Linked DNA regions of Saccharomyces cerevisiae S288C. The gene in region 1 interacts genetically with each later gene. Each region holds a gene or a part of one and is shown in the gene's direction. Other genes may lie near its edges.

Region 1 (4,318 bases):
TGGGCTTATTATGTATTTTATCAAAAGTTTCCGCCAAAATACATCAAGAAGTCGGCAAAGAAAGGTGATAAGAATTAGCATTACTACTAGTATACTACTATTTAAGCTCTTTGTATGTAAAGTGAGCAAATCTCAAATTTTGCTACTTAATTCTTATTTTCGTGCTAGCCCTACAACGGAACCCAAAAAATCAATCACCAGGGTAAGCGGGAAAAAAAAAAAGTGTAGGAACCGCACTATAAAAAGTCGAAGGTTTGTATTAATTTTCCACACCTCTTTAGTTTTGTTATAATCAAATTCCTTTTGGTTTTTGTTTTAAAAAGGCCAACATCATAATTATATCGCGAATGTACTACTAGTATATGCAGTTTTCTTAAAATTGCAGGGAATGACTAAAAGCCCACGTTTTTCCCACTTTTAGTAGTACTGAAGCGTAGATAGATTGAACGTTGCTGGGCGCCTGGTGTTGATCATTTCTGAAATGAGATATTGGGAATCAGCTGTATCTACATTTTATTTATACATATTTATTTTTACTGGTTCTTAGTAACGTACTTTAGTAGCAATGCTGTGTTTTAGTGCGAACGCCTACGTGTCTTGTTAACTTATCATGGTTGCCAACGCGAACGTTTACAACAGGTTCAAAGGCAGGATGAAAAATTACGCCAAATAGGCAGGTTTTCAATATTAAAGAGTTAAGTATGCAAAATTTACAAAAAGTTAATGGTCAAAGTATAACTATAAAAATATAATAAAACAATAAACAATAACAACTCTCAGAATTGCAAAGCTTGACCCTTTTGCTTCTTTTCACCACCCAATTCGAAGTGCTTACATCTCTTCAAGGTTAATTGGGCTCTAGTCTTACATTTGACACATTCCAATCTCAAAACAACCTTCTTGGTAGTCTTAGCTTTCTTGTGGAAAACAGGCTTGGTTTGACCACCGAAACCAGATTGTTTACGGTCATAACGTCTCTTACCTTGAGCGAACAAGGAAGCCTTACCAGCTTTGTATTGAGTAACCTTGTGTTGAGTGTGCTTACGACAGGTCTTACCCTTACAGTAGGTCTTTCTGGTCTTTGGGACGTTAACTGGTTCAAAATGATATCACAGCAAATTTAGCATGATAGTTGATTGTTAGTAATTGATCTTAAAAAAAAAGTAATTTGACTGCACATGTAATTAGTTGTATCTTTTTTCTGTAATGGGGAAACGGCTAAATTCACAAATATCTAATGAGTATTACTAATGATATCCTCAATATATTTTCTAACCAGAGTTCTTATTAAAAGGGCCAATAAAAGTATCATTCAGGTGTTCAGTACTTTAGGAAATGATGAAAATATTTAACTAGCTCAAAAGTAAATGAAGTTTAATAACTATTAGTTTCTTGCTTGACATGGATTTGCCCTACGATTCAGGATATTTTAAAAAGTTCTTTAGCATTCTAGTAGTACCTGTGTACTAATTACACTCTCACGCCCTAATGGAGATAAATAACATGGTTTGTCTATTCCTAATCGTCCACATACCCATTATTACTGATTGTTTTTTTGCTTAATCTCCTTCAATTTACGTTAAAACAGTGAAAATACCACATCAATTAAGATATACATTGTCAACAATATGGATGTATCTCTGAGTTCATTTCGACGAATAATTTTACCTCTCTTGGTGGAAAGCCTTCCCTCCCCCTGGCGGAACCCATCATCCCGTCGAACAACTAAACCGTCAGCGTTGCCGCACCGACGGACGTCTCTCTAGAGGTCGTCTCTCCGTCTGAACATACGCACTGTTGGTACGATGCAGCGGCAGTCTGGCCGCATTTTTGACAGCGATCTTTTTTTGTATCAAGACTTCTTCCAATGTCAGGATTTATTTTCATGATGTATGGGTGTATCGGATGTTCGGATGTCACTGTCTTTTATTTTGAAGTTTGTGACAGAGAATGCTATGGAAAATAATATGTAGCAACATAGCCAACTAATTGCCATTGCATTAAATTTTGGCAGTACTATTTAAAATGCCATGTTTTATGTTGTTACAGTAAGTTATTGACATTCTTCTGGTGTTGCCCGCTTCGCTTTCTTAAAACGGTTAAATATTGAAAAAGTTTCACAAGACACGAAATCAAAAAGGATCCATTTTGGTATAAAAATAGCATATTGCATAACTTAACTAAAAAGATTAAAAAAAGTCAAAGCTACACTGGCATACTTTGAACTGTTTTTTCAAAGCTGTCTCCACGTGGAAAGTTTATTTCATCAAAACTATTATCAAAAATTGTGGTTTTGTTAATACAAAAGCTGATATATATATAATATGGCATTTAGTGATTTTGCTGCCATATGCTCAAAGACCCCGTTGCCATTATGTTCGGTAATAAAGTCTAAAACCCATCTAATACTTTCGAACTCAACAATTATACATGATTTTGATCCTTTAAATTTGAATGTCGGTGTACTGCCACGCTGTTATGCTCGGTCGATTGATCTTGCCAATACAGTCATCTTTGATGTCGGGAACGCATTCATAAATATTGGTGCTCTAGGTGTCATTTTAATCATACTTTATAACATAAGACAGAAGTATACTGCTATTGGCAGGTCTGAATATCTCTACTTTTTCCAACTAACATTGCTATTGATAATATTTACCTTGGTGGTAGACTGTGGTGTATCTCCCCCCGGCTCTGGGTCATATCCATACTTCGTGGCTATACAAATAGGACTGGCGGGTGCATGTTGCTGGGCCTTATTGATAATCGGGTTTTTAGGTTTCAATTTATGGGAAGATGGGACTACAAAGTCCATGCTGTTGGTCCGTGGAACGTCCATGCTAGGATTCATAGCCAATTTTTTAGCCTCTATTTTAACCTTCAAAGCATGGATCACCGACCATAAAGTAGCAACAATGAACGCTTCAGGGATGATTGTCGTCGTTTACATAATAAACGCCATTTTCTTATTCGTTTTCGTTATTTGTCAATTACTGGTATCCCTATTGGTAGTTCGAAACTTATGGGTCACAGGAGCTATCTTTTTGGGGCTATTTTTCTTTGTAGCAGGCCAGGTATTGGTTTATGCCTTCTCTACACAAATTTGTGAAGGGTTCAAGCACTACTTAGATGGCCTCTTTTTTGGAAGCATCTGTAATGTGTTCACATTAATGATGGTTTACAAGACTTGGGATATGACTACCGACGACGACTTGGAATTTGGTGTAAGTGTTAGCAAGGACGGTGACGTGGTGTATGATAATGGATTTATGTGAAATGCTTCTTTTTTCTATTACCATATATAGAAAATAGGTGTATACTATTAGTTTAATGTAATAAGCAGGACTATGACAAACCAAAGAGTGAAAGTAGCCGTTTCCACGTTTTAACGGCTTGTGTACACTTTGACAGTCAATCAGCGTAGTGACTTCTTTTATCAGCGGAAACAACCATATCCATAAAAGAAACGTGATGGTCGTTCCCGTAGTTTATTAAGTAAGATGACAAATTATCCTTCTTTAGTCAATTGAAAACAAAACTTCTTAATCTGTTTCCAATGTTTTAAAGTCGCTCATATGTTCATGACTACTTTTCCATGAGAGGGTTCTACGAAAAGCATCATCTTATTTTCGCAACGCTGCGGGTTTAGGCCTTTCCGCTGGTCTCTTTTCTGTTTACAGTTCTGCCCGAATGTAAACAAATACTTTGCGAAAAGTAAATAATGTATTCTGAAAAAAAAAAAGAGAACTGTGAACAATGCTTGATAGTTGTAGGAATATCTTAGAAGAAAGGGGATAGATTATCTGGAAAATCGTTTGAATAAAATAAGAACCAGTAATTCATTCGTTTAAATTGGAAAAACAAAACATAAAAGAACCAGCAATGTCTTGGTTGCCTGTTAATGTAAAAAGTTCTCCCAAAAGATGACAGGAAACTCGTTAACTCATACTCGGTATATAAGAGGAAACTTATCTAATGTTTCATTCATTCTTCCTCTTCTGCTTATTCGATGTCTATTGAAAAACTTCAAGTAAACCAGCAATATCGACTTCCATTAAGTAGACAGCGAGCCTGAAACAAAGAATATACTGTTTCAATTCCAACTAAAGCCACTCCCTCAAGCGTTATTATTTTTTGAATTATATTTTCGGGTTTTAAGCTAACTCTAGTCATTCCTTACTACATTTTATTGTAACTCTTCAGTAGAGCTAACCACAGTCATTCCTTAATATTTTTTAACACAGATCTCTTTCACAGAGTAGAAATAAAGCCACTCCTTTAACAAATTACAAAGAAATGAAATTTAATTTTTCTACAA
Region 2 (6,302 bases), on another chromosome or scaffold:
CTTCTACCCTCATGGTTTTCATGAGCATCCTCTTTCTCCTCCTCCTGGCTCGATGAGATCTCATTACTGCCGTCCATGGCATTGAGGAGCGAAGACGATGGCGACTCTATTATGGAGAACCTGCCCGTTGCGGTATGTTTATATTTCTTTGGCGTCGTGAGATCCATGTTTGTGAATGATGGTGATTCGTCATATTCAAAGTTATCTAAATCTGTGGGCTTCCTCTTCCTTGGAGTTTCATTTTTCTTGTCAAAATTTTGCACCTTGGTACTTTCGCCCGCCTGCCTATCTTCGTCATCATCTTCATCGTCATCTGTGCTGCCCATGTGATCATCATCCTCATCATCTTCATCTGCACCATCTTCACGATAATCGTCGTCGTTGTCATCGTCATCTTCATCATCGCTATTATTCTTCGTAACATCGCTCTGACAATTTTGTCCTTTATTATCGCTATTATCATCGTTTATCCCGCAATCATCCTCATAGTATTCTTCCACCATGAAATTTTCATCTTTCAGCAAAACATTACGCTTACTCTTATTCCCCATCTCCCTATCTTCATCACCATCAAAAAATCCTTCCTCTTCATCCTCGTCATCGTAGCCTAGGTTGACACTCATTATAGAGTCGATTTCTCTAATAAAGGGTGCCAACTCCCTAGTATTGTTTTCGGTCATCCACGGTATCTTCATTAGTGAGACATCTTCTTGATTCTTGATGAAGTTAATATCTTTCTCCTTATCGTCCTCTTGCTTCTCACCGTGTGTTTTATCAAAAACCTGCCAACTGCTAGTTACCATGCAACATTTTTCTAGCGCATTTACAAACTTCTCCAATTCATTGATCTTGTAATATTTGAAAGGATCATAACACAATTCGCATATCCGAAGTATTGTGAATGGAAATGTATGATTTTGTAAAAAATTATCATTCAGAAACTTACCCAGCCAATTTAATCTAGTAACGAGATTTCTCGCATCGTTCATTTCATTCTTAAGGTTTATAAATAGGTCAAACGGTATTGTTTCAGTGATATGCCGGATTAAATCAGGCAAAACTTGCTCGGGACCCGCCGTCACCAATCGCGTCTTGTCGCCCTGTTTCACCACATCGCTAAGTAATTCATAAAGGCTGATAGACTTGATACCCATCATATTATTATCCACATCATCCAACATCGTCGAGCTCATAGCTTTTTATTGTGCTTTGACAATCGATGAGAACACCAACAAAAAATGATAATAGGTATTGTTAGCTGTGTCAAAATACATGCTTTTGATCGCGAAATGAAAAACTACACAATCATTACCCGTCGGCGCTTCGGAGGGGGATTAGATTTCTCCTATAATCAAAATCTTCAACTATTACAAACCCCTTTTCAGAAGCACATTGAAAACAACACACAACAGAGCACTTTGTGATAGGCAATAGAGTGCTTTTAAATAGAGAATTACTGGTTCTCGCGAAATAATATAGCGCGTTGAAACTAATAAATAGATTCGTGAAGCTCTAGATCTATCTTTTTTCCTGTTTTTATCTGTGTGTTTTCAATAGGATTCGAACGATATAGGCCATGGCATCTATTACTTTTAGAACTCCATTATCCTCTCAGGAACAAGCCTTTTATAATCAGAAATTTCACCAATTGGATACGGAAGATCTCGGGGTGGTCACTGGCGAGGCAGTCAGACCGCTCTTCGCGTCTTCTGGTCTTCCAGGGCAATTACTATCGCAAGTGTGGGCTACCGTCGATATAGACAATAAAGGGTTTTTGAACTTGAACGAGTTTTCGGCTGCTTTGAGAATGATCGCTCAATTGCAAAATGCTCCCAACCAACCAATTTCCGCTGCCCTATATGAGAGCACACCTACTCAACTGGCTTCTTTTTCTATAAATCAGAACCCAGCCCCTATGCAAAGCGGTAGTGCAACCGGCAATACAAACAACACTGATATTCCTGCCTTATCCTCAAATGATATTGCTAAATTTTCACAACTGTTTGATAGGACAGCAAAGGGTGCTCAAACTGTTGCTGGTGATAAAGCCAAGGATATATTTTTAAAGGCAAGATTACCAAATCAAACTTTAGGTGAAATTTGGGCTCTTTGTGATAGAGACGCATCCGGTGTCTTAGACAAATCTGAGTTTATAATGGCCATGTATTTGATCCAACTATGTATGTCTCATCATCCTAGTATGAACACACCACCGGCCGTGTTGCCTACTCAGCTGTGGGATTCTATTCGTTTAGAACCTGTTGTTGTTAATCAACCAAACAGGACTACTCCTTTGAGTGCTAACTCCACTGGCGTATCTTCACTAACAAGACACTCTACTATATCACGTCTATCTACTGGTGCATTCAGTAATGCTGCTTCAGATTGGTCTTTAAGTTTTGAAAAAAAACAACAGTTTGATGCAATTTTTGATTCATTAGATAAGCAACATGCTGGTTCGCTAAGCTCTGCTGTGTTGGTTCCATTCTTCTTATCCTCTAGATTAAACCAAGAGACGTTAGCCACCATCTGGGACTTAGCTGACATCCACAACAATGCTGAATTCACCAAATTGGAATTTGCTATTGCCATGTTCTTAATTCAAAAAAAGAATGCTGGTGTCGAATTACCGGATGTTATCCCCAATGAATTATTACAGTCCCCCGCTTTAGGACTTTATCCGCCAAACCCACTTCCTCAACAACAAAGTGCACCTCAAATTGCCATCCCCTCAAGAGCAAGTAAGCCTTCTTTACAGGATATGCCACACCAAGTTTCTGCCCCAGCAGTTAATACTCAACCAACAGTTCCACAAGTTCTTCCTCAAAACTCAAATAACGGTTCTTTGAATGATTTACTGGCTTTGAACCCTTCATTCAGCTCTCCTTCTCCCACTAAAGCACAAACTGTGGTTCAAAACAACACAAATAATAGTTTTTCATATGATAATAACAATGGCCAAGCAACATTACAACAACAACAGCCACAGCAGCCTCCACCTTTAACTCACTCCTCCTCTGGATTGAAGAAATTTACTCCCACCTCAAACTTCGGTCAAAGTATAATCAAGGAAGAACCAGAGGAACAAGAGCAACTAAGGGAATCCAGTGATACTTTTAGCGCTCAGCCTCCGCCAGTTCCAAAACATGCTTCAAGTCCAGTCAAACGTACAGCTTCAACAACACTGCCACAAGTTCCCAACTTTTCTGTGTTTAGCATGCCAGCAGGCGCTGCCACTAGCGCTGCCACTGGTGCTGCTGTAGGCGCCGCAGTGGGTGCTGCTGCTTTAGGCGCATCCGCTTTTTCAAGATCTTCCAATAATGCATTCAAGAACCAGGATTTATTTGCAGATGGTGAAGCTTCTGCTCAGTTATCTAATGCTACCACAGAAATGGCTAATTTATCTAACCAAGTAAACTCCCTGTCCAAGCAGGCAAGTATAACTAATGACAAAAAGTCAAGAGCGACCCAGGAGTTGAAACGTGTTACTGAGATGAAAAATTCCATTCAAATCAAATTGAACAATTTACGTTCTACCCATGACCAAAATGTTAAACAAACGGAACAACTGGAAGCACAAGTACTTCAAGTAAACAAAGAAAACGAAACATTAGCGCAACAGTTGGCTGTATCCGAAGCAAACTACCATGCCGCTGAGTCCAAACTCAATGAACTAACTACTGATTTGCAAGAATCTCAAACAAAGAACGCAGAATTAAAAGAACAAATTACGAATTTGAACTCGATGACAGCCTCCTTACAGTCACAATTAAATGAAAAACAACAACAGGTCAAGCAAGAAAGGTCAATGGTAGATGTTAATTCAAAACAGCTAGAGTTGAATCAAGTCACAGTAGCAAACTTGCAGAAGGAAATCGATGGTCTTGGCGAAAAGATAAGCGTTTACTTAACTAAACAAAAGGAGTTAAATGACTACCAAAAGACCGTGGAGGAGCAACACGCACAATTACAAGCTAAATACCAGGATCTGTCCAACAAGGATACTGATTTAACGGACCGTGAAAAACAATTGGAAGAACGTAACAGACAAATTGAAGAACAAGAAAATCTCTACCATCAGCACGTTTCTAAATTGCAAGAAATGTTCGACGATCTATCACAGAGAAAAGCTTCTTTTGAAAAAGCTGATCAAGAGTTAAAGGAGAGAAACATCGAATACGCTAACAATGTGAGAGAGTTATCCGAAAGACAAATGAATTTAGCTATGGGACAATTACCTGAGGATGCTAAGGACATTATTGCGAAAAGCGCCTCTAATACAGATACAACAACCAAAGAAGCCACATCAAGAGGAAATGTTCACGAAGACACTGTATCCAAATTTGTCGAAACTACTGTTGAGAATTCAAACTTGAATGTTAATCGGGTTAAAGACGATGAAGAAAAGACAGAAAGAACCGAAAGTGACGTATTTGATAGAGACGTTCCAACTTTGGGATCTCAAAGCGATAGTGAAAATGCCAATACAAACAACGGCACCCAGTCAGGAAATGAGACAGCAAATCCAAACTTAACTGAAACATTAAGTGATAGGTTTGATGGTGATTTGAATGAATATGGTATTCCAAGAAGTCAATCCTTGACATCGTCTGTTGCAAACAATGCTCCTCAATCCGTAAGAGATGATGTTGAGCTACCGGAAACGTTGGAAGAACGTGACACCATCAATAATACTGCGAATAGAGATAATACTGGAAACTTATCTCACATTCCTGGTGAATGGGAAGCTACCCCAGCTACCGCTTCTACTGATGTTTTGAGCAACGAAACTACAGAAGTTATTGAAGACGGAAGTACCACAAAAAGGGCTAATTCAAATGAAGACGGTGAGTCGGTCAGTTCTATCCAAGAATCTCCAAAAATCTCTGCTCAACCAAAAGCAAAGACAATAAATGAAGAGTTTCCACCAATTCAGGAATTGCATATTGACGAAAGCGATTCATCCTCTTCAGACGATGATGAGTTTGAAGATACCAGAGAAATTCCATCAGCAACAGTGAAGACCCTTCAAACTCCCTATAATGCCCAGCCCACATCAAGTTTGGAAATCCACACGGAACAAGTCATAAAATATCCCGCTCCAGGCACTTCTCCTTCACATAATGAAGGTAACTCAAAAAAGGCAAGCACCAATTCCATTTTGCCTGTTAAGGACGAATTTGATGATGAATTCGCAGGGTTAGAACAAGCGGCTGTGGAGGAAGATAATGGTGCTGATTCGGAATCTGAATTTGAGAATGTTGCGAATGCTGGGTCGATGGAGCAATTTGAAACCATAGACCATAAGGATCTCGATGACGAACTACAAATGAACGCTTTTACAGGGACGTTAACTAGTTCCTCTAACCCAACTATCCCAAAACCACAAGTACAACAACAGTCAACCAGTGACCCTGCTCAAGTAAGCAACGATGAGTGGGACGAGATTTTTGCTGGATTTGGTAACTCCAAAGCTGAACCAACCAAAGTAGCTACCCCAAGCATTCCACAACAACCAATTCCATTGAAGAATGATCCTATCGTTGATGCTAGCTTGTCAAAAGGTCCAATAGTTAACCGCGGGGTTGCAACTACTCCAAAGTCTCTAGCCGTCGAGGAGTTAAGTGGCATGGGATTTACTGAAGAAGAAGCGCACAATGCCTTGGAAAAGTGCAACTGGGATCTAGAAGCCGCCACTAACTTTTTGTTGGATAGTGCTTAGTCTGTAATGGACCATTTCGTCTTCTTTTTGTACTTCTTCCTCGAAGCTGAATCATATTTACCCTTTTCCAGGATCGTCCTTGTATATTGTGAATTATTCTAAAAGTAGAATATGTTGTACTTTAAAATTGTTATAGTTATCATCATCTATTTTTCCATTTTATAAAATTTTTACGTTAGACAGTTATGTATTGAAACTGCTTCATAAGTTTTGAAAATCATCCCAGTTTGGTAAATACACTAACCAAAAAAAAAAAAAGCTCTACCACATAATCTTTGGGCGTATTACAACATGGGAAACACGACATTATTGAAAATACAAAAAAAGTAAAGTAAGACTCGTTCAGGGCATAAGTCAATGGCCCTGTAAGAAAAAACAAAGTAGCTAGGCTCATAAGAGATTATCTGTTTAATTTTCTTTGAATAAAAAAAAGTATAAATCGATAAGATAAAATACCACAATGAAAAAATAAAGGCTACTTGAAAACAACTGGACCAAACCAAAACCCAATTAACCCAGACCAGTAATGAAACACGAATAGAAATATACCCAATCAAAATAGAAGGAAGAAAGACCAGAT
Region 3 (6,094 bases), on another chromosome or scaffold:
AGACCATTTACTAGATAGCTTAGAAGAACTGAGTGAGGCTCATCCGGATTGTATACCTGATGTAGAGCTAAGCCATGGCGTAATGACATTGGAAATTCCAGCTTTTGGAACGTATGTAATAAACAAACAGCCTCCAAATAAGCAAATTTGGTTGGCATCACCATTGTCCGGGCCTAACAGATTTGACCTTCTCAATGGGGAGTGGGTTTCGTTAAGAAATGGCACAAAGCTAACAGATATACTTACTGAAGAAGTTGAGAAGGCCATTTCTAAAAGCCAATAAGTGCACTTATCCATCGACTCTCTTATATTTATTTAAACACTTGTAACGCATCCAATCTATTTCATAGTTAGAGTCTCTCTTCCTTGTTATTGATATGATTTTTCTTTTGTACCGTGTGTGTATGTATGTATGTATGAACGTACTACTAAGCTTCAACGTCACTCTATAAAGAAACTAAAAAGACACGTATTTATACCTTTTTTGAAGAATGCGAGATTGCAATGAAATATGTGTCTATTTTTTACATGAATCTTTTGACCAACTCCTCATATATACCCCACGCAATACCTGCACTGAAGGCCTTTCTTGCCAGCCTCATGCTTAACCCGCTAAATAACTTCAGCACATTTTCATTTTTAACTATAGATGTAAATGTATTGAAGGAGTTGGTAAATTTTGATGGTTCCAATTGCATTCTCGTTTTTATGGTGTCGAACGGTGCCGTTACTGTGGTGGCTAAACTGGCGGATAGTACGGCGCTTGTTGTATTTACTGTTGTAGAGGTATAAGTAGTAAATCCTCCCTCAGGATTGTAATGTATAAACCTAGAAGGTAATACCATGGGCAGTAATTGTTTCGATTTTTCATATAGCAGCACATACAAACCTGCATAGGGAGCGTCTCTTAAACAAGTAGCTCCAAACCCTCTGAAAAATCCAAAAAGTCCTTCCTTAGTATATATATGGGTAATTGCCTCCTTTAAACTGGAGTAATTGTACAGAGTAGACTCATAACGGACTTTAATGACGGTGATAGGCATGGTTATATAACCTACCAAACCTCTTGCAAATGCACCTGTTAGTAAATTTTCATACATCGTTAATCGTGGTAAGCTACTGCTCTTGTTATATACAATGTTTGAATCGTTTGTTAATGAAGGCACAGCATTCCTCCTCTTTGCCAAAGATGAGCGCATAAGGTTCAAACATGATAAATATAAGGCGCTGCCTATTGATGTTCGTAATGCTGAAGGTAATGTACCTCTCCATAGCTGTAGAGGGCTGTCTATCTCTTTCAAATTTTTCCATAATGTAGCTTTCTTGTCTTGCTGGATTCTCGTCTTCAAAAGGTCTAAAGGTTGCAACGCAACAGCAGATGTTAGCCCACCGAAAAAGCCCCCGATCAAATGCGATGAATTTCTTGGCTTAGTTGCTTGCTCAGTCATGTATGCTGCTTCACAAATTGTGTACCTTCTAGTTGTTCCCGCTGTGCTATTTGCTTTTCTTTTGGTATAAGCTTATCCTTTTACTTCAATCACCCCCTCGTGAGAATTTAATGTGGAAGCAATATACTACTACACCGTTGACTTGGAGATTTTCAAGCTCAATTTTGCGTTCACTCAAATCTAAGTCATTTGAAACAAACACAACTTCTAAATATAGCAAGAGAAATAGGTCAATAACGCAGACACATATTTAACATTTAAGATACTGATAGATATTCAAAAGGAAACAGTCACCACAAGCGTTGGAGATTCAGCAAAACCCAAAAAGCAAGAAATTACAAAATCATTGTCTCGCTGATGAAACACCATCCTTTAGTGTTTGTATCCATTCAGCGTACCCTCTTGTTCTTGAGACTGGTGAATTTCGTAACTAGTTGAATATTGCAGGGTTTTCTTTTTCTAAATATGTATTAATGGTGGTGCCTGTCAGGGCGCGATAGAAGTGAAAAATTCTCGAATGGCTGGTTTGGTGGCCATTGAGCTGATCTGAAAAGGATGGTGAGATCAAGCTTGATATCTTGCATGCTTGGACCAACTATTTAAAATAAGTATTGAAAAAGGAGAATTTAGTTTCATTTACTCTCTACAATTGGATATTATACAGTTAAAACAAGAGAAAAGGCCAAAATTAACGGGACTCTGTTTGCATAACATATCTATAATATCAGTTTGATCTACTGCTGTTAAACTAATTTTTCTTTCTTCTGATTTCACTTCGTCCTTAATATTTTAACACATTAACTGTTTGCTATAAGCATACATTGCTTTTACCACTTTTTTTAATAATATCTTTTTATCCGTATTAATTACCGCATATAATTTTAGTTCGAAACATTAAAGGTCAGTCCCGAAGTTATAATTATAACATTTAATTCCTGAATTTACCGTATTACATTTAAATTTGCATAATGGCCACTAACTTAACATCTTTGAAGCCACCATTTAAGGTGAAGGCCAGGTATGGTTGGTCGGGCCAAACTAAAGGCGACTTAGGCTTTCTGGAGGGAGATATTATGGAAGTCACAAGGATTGCCGGTTCTTGGTTCTACGGCAAGTTATTGAGAAACAAAAAATGTTCTGGGTATTTTCCTCATAACTTCGTCATACTATTAGAGGAGAGATTAAATTCGAGCACTGAAAATGGTAGGCAACCTTCAAAAATAGTAGAAAGTTTTGAAAAATCAAATAAAGTTGTTATTCCACCAGTACCATCAAGGTATTCTGACGAGAGGCCAAGGCCTAAAAAGAAGCTATCTTCATCAATGCCCAATTCACCCAAGAAGCCGGTAGATTCTTTGACAAAGGCTAGAAAGGCAAAATCAAAAGAAATGGTAAATGAAAAAAATATCTATAATACCCAATCCTCTCGACATCATAATAACTCAGCTCCAAATTTACCTTTGGCTAGCCATAGTAAGCCTCAAGTACGAAATTTCGAGGAGTCCATGAACAATCCGTTACCACCTCTACCGCCACTACCAGATTTGGACAATATGAGAAAGACAGATAAAAGGGCACCAAAGAAATCATATTCTGCAAACGATTTACATATGGCACGTTCTTCAAGAGAATATAACTATTACAAAGACAACCAGAAATTCTATGATGGGTTTATCCCAGAAAAGAGATATTCTTTAGAAGAGGACTCTATTTCATCAGGCCTGTTTTCAAACTCTCAGTACTTAAATGATTCTGCTTGTAGTAGTGAGAACAGTTTTGCCTTAATGAGTGATTTTAGTGCCACGAGCGCGGGAAGTTTCGCCAGACATAAATATGCACAATCGTTTTCCGATTCATTGCAAAGATCACAGAATGCAAATGGCTGCTCTACAAAGATAAATGATTCACAGGAGTTTGGTGATTCCAATGCTAGTTCGAGAAATGGAAAAATGGGTGATATCCTTAGGAAAATAATTATTCCAAAGAGGAATACAAATATTTACTCCAGTTCAGTATCCTCACCAAAGTCACCAAAAGCATATCCTAAACTACCAGATATTCAGAATTTAAACTTGTCTGCAACACCCGATGAAGCTCGCGATTGGATTGCGGTAAAATGTCACTTGAACAGAGCAAGGACTCTTACCAAATATGACAAACATCCGAGGTATATGAGAGCTCTCGAAGAAAATCGCGACTTGATCTTACATCCTCAAGATTCGATTTATAACGGGCTAAATACCAATGAAGTCAAAGGTAATACAAAGCCCGGTTTGGTCGATGTGGAACTGGCCGAATTAAACATAGAATACATTGATAAGATGACTTGGAAACGGTGTATTAGAGACGGAACTATGACATTAGACAGTTGGGCTCAAACAACTTTTTCAGCAAGATACTCAACTGTTCTGGAAAAGTTAAGAGGCATATACATTTTTTGCACAGAGATGTTTGCTCTGACTGATGATAATGGAACGTCAGATTTTTCTGCGGAACCCCAAAATTTAGAGAAAATACTATACAGAAAGCATTGTACGCCATATGAATTGACATGGCTTTTCAAGAAATTAGCAAACTCATTGGGAATCACTTGTGAAATTGTTATAGGTTTCCTGAAAACACCGAGTGCTATAAATTGGGAGTTTAAGTATAACCACTGCTGGTTGAGAATACTGGTTAACAAAGAATGGAGATTTATTGACGTTATTTTAGGAAATGTAACCAACCCAATTCATGAATTTGTAAATAACAGAAAGATCAAGAAAGCAGAAAATAGCTACTTTTTGATGGCACCATTAGAAATGATATACACACATATACCGCCTAGGGAATTTGAGCAGCATATTGTTCCTAGTATCGATCAATTATCTGCATTGTATCTGCCATTAGTTTTTCCATCTTTTTTCAAAAATGAGTTAAAGTTATACAAATTTAGTACTGCACTATCATTTTTGGAAGATTCTGAGATCTACGAATGCTCCTTAGAAATTCCCAATGACGTTGAAGTCTTTGCATCCGTGGTTATTCCAACGGATAATGAAGAAGCTTCATCTGCGTACAGGAATATGGAACTCGCACTGACCCAAATCAAAAAGCAGAAAGCCGAGTCTGGTAGAAGAATTGCTCTAATCAAAGCAGTCCTACCACCCAATGTGAACAAAGGTTCACTGTACATACATTCAGGTGTAAGAGGTACGCAAACGAGTATTGCCAATATCCATCCACTGTCCATGATGGTCCCATTAACACATAAGGGAAGTAACATGAAATACGAATTTGTGATCAAGATACCCTCAGAAAGCATTCAGAAGATTGAGCTATACATTGTCGAGCCACAGAGTAGATATCTATTTGTTGGTAATGAGTACTCATTCGAAGTTATTCAAAGTCCCTCCGATGGTATTGTATACAGCAGTGATGAAGGGCCGAACCAAAATAGGAAACAACCAATGGCAATAAAATCACCCTCAGGAAGAGTTCATGAGCTAGTCAAGAGCGATCCCCACTTTCCTTATGGTACCTGGAAAGGAAGCATTAAAATCAAAGAGCCCGGCGTCTGGAGCGCTTTAGTGATCGCTGACTCTGGTATTGGGTGGTCCGTTTTTGCTGAATGGTTGTGCGTATAAACGTTTTTCACAAATTTTTTTACAGCGCTATAATCTGTATCATTCAACATACATTCTACTCAGGAAGGTGAATTTCATAACTCATATATGGCTATATAGTACTTATTATTTAATGATTTATCCATTGCATTCATAAAAGCTATGCTGGTCCAACTTTTTCGTATTTAGTGATGTTTTCGGTGAAGAAAATATGAAAAATTAGACCAAATGCTCAAATACATACGACATTTGAATTGTTTAGGCAAGTCCGAAAACGAGGTATATCAGCTAATTCAACCTGAAAACCAATTGAGTGCTACTTCGAAGTAAAATACATAGCCATTTCAAATGGAATTATCCCCTACTTATCAAACAGAACGCTTCACAAAGTTCTCAGACACTTTAAAGGAATTCAAAATTGAACAAAATAATGAGCAAAACCCCATTGACCCGTTTAACATCATAAGAGAGTTTCGCTCAGCCGCGGGGCAGCTTGCGTTAGATTTGGCTAATTCTGGAGATGAAAGTAACGTCATATCTTCTAAGGATTGGGAACTGGAAGCTAGATTTTGGCATTTAGTAGAACTGTTACTGGTTTTCAGGAACGCTGATCTTGATCTAGATGAAATGGAACTTCATCCTTATAACTCGAGGGGTTTATTTGAAAAGAAATTAATGCAAGACAACAAACAACTTTATCAAATATGGATAGTGATGGTTTGGCTCAAAGAAAATACATATGTGATGGAAAGACCCAAAAATGTACCAACTTCAAAATGGTTAAATAGTATTACTTCTGGAGGATTGAAAAGCTGTGACTTGGATTTTCCTTTACGAGAAAACACTAATGTCCTCGATGTTAAAGATAAAGAAGAAGATCATATTTTCTTCAAATACATTTACGAACTAATTTTGGCCGGTGCGATTGATGAAGCATTAGAAGAAGCTAAACTTTCCGACAATATTTCAATTTGTATGATCCTGTGTGGGATACAAGAGTACTTAAACCCTGTCATTGATACGCAAATTGCAAACGAATTC
Region 4 (4,306 bases), on another chromosome or scaffold:
GTTTATTCAAAAACCTAGGCTTGCTGATTTTACCTGATGTATTTTCATCTAGTCCTTTTTTCTTGTTTATACCAGCAATCAGCTGACTAACATCGATTGGTCTTGCCATCCGTCCTGTATGTTAATTCTTCGGCTCCTATTGACCTTTTCGTTGTCAAAAATTCTATTGTCGTTGGTAATTCTCTCGATTGTAAGCTTCGAATATGTAAAAACGGATCATCGCGATTAACTCCGAATTCCTCCGACAAGTCGGTACCCTCTTCCGGCGGAGAATATATATGAACAAAATTAAGCATAAGAAAGGTTTCTGATTAATATTGATTCACCAAACAGTTTTAGTTCCTATTTTTGGATATATATACATCAATAAACAATATATCATAACACATGGACGTAGGAAGTTGCTCAGTGGGAAATAATCCGCTTGCGCAGTTGCACAAACATACTCAGCAGAACAAATCGCTTCAGTTTAATCAGAAGAATAATGGGCGTCTTAATGAGTCACCTCTACAGGGTACCAACAAGCCAGGTATTAGTGAGGCTTTTATATCCAATGTTAATGCTATTTCACAAGAAAACATGGCGAATATGCAAAGGTTCATAAACGGAGAACCACTGATCGATGATAAAAGAAGAATGGAAATAGGGCCATCCTCAGGCAGGCTTCCACCTTTTTCAAACGTACATTCTCTACAGACTTCAGCAAACCCAACCCAAATTAAGGGAGTGAACGATATATCTCATTGGTCACAGGAATTTCAAGGTAGTAATAGTATTCAAAATAGAAACGCGGATACAGGAAATTCAGAAAAGGCATGGCAGCGTGGCTCAACAACCGCATCAAGCCGGTTTCAGTACCCTAATACCATGATGAATAACTATGCTTATGCTTCTATGAACAGTCTTAGTGGATCAAGGCTCCAATCGCCTGCTTTCATGAATCAACAACAGTCTGGTCGTTCTAAAGAAGGAGTCAATGAGCAAGAACAACAACCCTGGACAGATCAGTTTGAAAAGCTGGAAAAAGAAGTCTCAGAAAACTTGGACATAAATGATGAAATAGAGAAGGAGGAAAATGTGAGTGAAGTAGAACAAAACAAACCAGAAACTGTTGAGAAGGAAGAAGGAGTATATGGAGATCAGTATCAATCTGATTTCCAAGAAGTGTGGGATAGCATACACAAGGACGCTGAAGAAGTCTTGCCATCCGAATTAGTTAATGATGACCTCAATCTAGGAGAAGACTACTTGAAATATCTCGGCGGTAGAGTAAATGGGAACATCGAGTATGCTTTTCAATCTAACAACGAATATTTTAATAATCCTAATGCTTATAAAATTGGCTGCCTACTGATGGAAAACGGAGCCAAATTGAGCGAGGCAGCGCTAGCATTTGAAGCTGCTGTTAAAGAAAAACCGGACCATGTGGATGCATGGCTAAGATTGGGTCTAGTACAAACCCAGAATGAAAAAGAGTTGAACGGCATAAGCGCCCTCGAAGAATGTTTAAAGTTAGACCCAAAGAATCTGGAGGCAATGAAAACTTTAGCGATAAGTTATATAAACGAAGGTTATGATATGAGCGCCTTCACAATGCTGGATAAATGGGCAGAAACTAAGTACCCGGAAATTTGGTCAAGGATCAAGCAACAAGATGACAAATTTCAAAAAGAGAAAGGGTTTACCCATATTGATATGAACGCTCATATCACAAAGCAATTTTTGCAACTAGCAAACAATTTAAGCACAATAGATCCTGAAATACAACTATGCTTGGGTCTCTTATTTTACACGAAAGATGATTTTGACAAAACCATAGATTGCTTTGAAAGTGCGTTGAGGGTGAATCCTAATGACGAACTCATGTGGAATAGATTAGGGGCTTCATTGGCCAATTCCAATAGATCAGAGGAAGCAATCCAAGCCTATCATAGGGCACTACAACTAAAACCTTCTTTTGTTAGAGCTCGCTATAATCTGGCGGTATCATCCATGAATATAGGCTGTTTCAAAGAAGCAGCAGGCTACTTATTAAGTGTTCTAAGTATGCATGAAGTGAACACTAATAATAAAAAAGGAGACGTTGGATCTCTCTTGAATACGTACAATGATACTGTTATAGAGACTTTGAAGAGAGTTTTTATAGCGATGAATAGAGATGATTTACTTCAAGAAGTGAAGCCAGGCATGGACCTGAAAAGATTTAAAGGAGAATTTTCGTTTTGATATGGTTCTCCGCAATTTTATGTTCTCGCATCACTGCCCAAATTCATTAGCATTAGCAGTACAAGCTATCCTATATATAAGGCAATAAAAAATCTTATAAATACTATCAGCAAGATTTCAACCTTGGAAAACATGCATTCAAAGGTCATAATTGCTGCTCTATTTACAGTCGTCCATAATGACATTTCTCTTTGATTATTTTCTTGTTTTTTCGCTCTTCTCAAGTGGATGTTACATAACAAACAAAACAGAAAAAATTGTTTAAATATAAAGTTTAAAAGTTATCTTTGATTCCGCACCTGAATTTTTGGATTGAAGGCCAAAGGAGGTTTATCAGGGAGAGAAAAGCTCTCTATTTATTTTTATAAGGAATAATTGTGCATGTACAACTATACAATATGTCTAGTGTACCTTATAATTCCCAACTTCCTATATCCAACCATCTAGAGTACGATGAAGATGAAAAGAAGAGCAGAGGCTCAAAACTAGGCCTGAAATATAAAATGATATACTGGAGGAAAACTTTATGCAGTTCGCTAGCGAGATGGAGAAAGCTAATACTATTAATATCTTTAGCTTTGTTTTTATTCATATGGATAAGCGATTCCACCATAAGCAGAAATCCATCTACCACAAGTTTTCAAGGCCAAAATAGTAACGATAATAAGTTGAGTAATACTGGTTCTAGCATCAACTCCAAAAGATATGTACCACCATATTCTAAGAGATCAAGATGGTCGTTTTGGAATCAAGATCCTAGGATTGTCATTATATTAGCGGCAAACGAAGGTGGTGGTGTATTGAGGTGGAAAAATGAGCAAGAATGGGCTATCGAAGGCATATCAATAGAAAATAAGAAGGCCTATGCGAAGAGACATGGATATGCGTTGACTATCAAGGATTTGACAACGTCCAAAAGATACTCTCACGAATACAGAGAGGGTTGGCAAAAAGTAGATATATTGAGACAGACGTTCAGGGAGTTTCCTAATGCAGAATGGTTCTGGTGGTTGGACCTGGATACTATGATAATGGAGCCTTCTAAATCATTAGAAGAACATATTTTCGACAGATTGGAAACTCTGGCTGACAGAGAATTGAAAAGTTTTAATCCCCTAAACCTAAGAGACGACATACCCTATGTCGATTATTCAGAGGAAATGGAGTTTCTAATAACACAAGATTGTGGAGGCTTCAATTTGGGCTCATTTCTGATAAAAAATAGCGAATGGTCTAAGCTGCTTCTAGATATGTGGTGGGACCCCGTTCTGTATGAACAAAAACATATGGTTTGGGAACATAGAGAACAAGATGCGTTAGAGGCATTATATGAAAACGAACCGTGGATTCGTTCGAGAATAGGATTTTTGCCCTTAAGAACGATCAATGCATTCCCACCGGGAGCATGCTCTGAATACAGTGGTGACTCAAGATACTTTTACAGTGAGAAAGACCATGATTTTGTTGTGAATATGGCCGGATGCAATTTTGGCAGAGATTGCTGGGGCGAGATGCAGTACTACACCACTTTAATGGAAAAACTGAATAGGAAATGGTACACGAGATTTTTCTTCCCATAAAATGGAAGTTATCAATATTGTAAAGAGAAGCATTTACAAGCTTTTATTTTTCTTTTTAATTTCCACTACTGGTTCTGCTTTAAAATGTTGTTTTATAATTTATGTACATTTAGGCCTATAGAAGATTCTTTCAATAATATGCTACACATTCTTTTATTTTTCCATCATATGTTGGAGTTTATGCCTCCTCGGCAGGAGTTGGGCGGTGCGAAGAGAAGAAAAAGAGTGAAACTAAAAAAAGGAATCTGCCTTTGCATAAGTTCAAAAGTGCAATTTTAGTGTTGGATTTAAACGGGAAAAATTGAAATGGCCATCGAAACAATACTTGTAATAAACAAATCAGGCGGACTAATCTATCAGCGGAATTTTACCAACGACGAACAGAAATTGAACAGCAATGAATACTTAATTCTTGCTAGTACACTGCACGGTGTATTCGCCATCGCGAGCCAGCTGACTCCGAAGGCATTACAGCTAACTCAACAAACGAACATCGAAAA

What was found.
Region 2: mutations in CHS7 (region 1) and EDE1 impair growth when combined (synthetic growth defect), as found in Saccharomyces cerevisiae (4 studies listed by BioGRID, with this or other methods).
Region 3: mutations in CHS7 (region 1) and CYK3 together harm fitness more than expected from each alone (negative genetic interaction), as found in Saccharomyces cerevisiae (5 studies listed by BioGRID, with this or other methods).
Region 4: mutations in CHS7 (region 1) and MNN10 together harm fitness more than expected from each alone (negative genetic interaction), as found in Saccharomyces cerevisiae (4 studies listed by BioGRID, with this or other methods).

What each region holds. Positions count from the first base shown.
Region 1 is NC_001140.6:381,214-385,531, forward strand, and holds CHS7 (Chs7p), read left to right. Parts: upstream 1-2,324; coding exon 2,325-3,275; downstream 3,276-4,318. Other genes in the region: YHR140W (uncharacterized protein), read left to right, coding at 1-78; 60S ribosomal protein eL42 RPL42B, read right to left, coding at 777-1,093, 1,535-1,538; DSE2 (Dse2p), read left to right, coding at 4,297-4,318. UniProt on the Saccharomyces cerevisiae protein: Chaperone required for the export of the chitin synthase CHS3 from the endoplasmic reticulum.
Region 2 is NC_001134.8:127,315-133,616, reverse strand, and holds EDE1 (Ede1p), read left to right. Parts: upstream 1-1,576; coding exon 1,577-5,722; downstream 5,723-6,302. Other genes in the region: PSY4 (Psy4p), read right to left, coding at 1-1,193; RRT1 (Rrt1p), read right to left, coding at 6,007-6,302. UniProt on the Saccharomyces cerevisiae protein: Functions at the internalization step of the clathrin-mediated endocytosis (CME) as an early-acting scaffold protein. Requires clathrin adapter proteins, ENT1/2 and YAP1801/2, for normal spatiotemporal dynamics and viability.
Region 3 is NC_001136.10:246,165-252,258, forward strand, and holds CYK3 (Cyk3p), read left to right. Parts: upstream 1-2,416; coding exon 2,417-5,074; downstream 5,075-6,094. Other genes in the region: YFH1 (ferroxidase), read left to right, coding at 1-283; HEM25 (Hem25p), read right to left, coding at 525-1,448; NUP84 (Nup84p), read left to right, coding at 5,402-6,094. UniProt on the Saccharomyces cerevisiae protein: Involved in cytokinesis by recruiting INN1 to the bud neck. Cooperates with INN1 to stimulate the synthesis of the primary septum (PS) by CHS2.
Region 4 is NC_001136.10:950,176-954,481, forward strand, and holds MNN10 (alpha-1,6-mannosyltransferase), read left to right. Parts: upstream 1-2,624; coding exon 2,625-3,806; downstream 3,807-4,306. Other genes in the region: mRNA splicing protein PRP28, read right to left, coding at 1-109; PEX5 (Pex5p), read left to right, coding at 388-2,226; TRAPP subunit TRS23, read left to right, coding at 4,113-4,306. UniProt on the Saccharomyces cerevisiae protein: Required for polarized growth and efficient budding. The M-Pol II complex possesses alpha-1,6-mannosyltransferase activity and is probably involved in the elongation of the mannan backbone of N-linked glycans on cell wall and periplasmic proteins.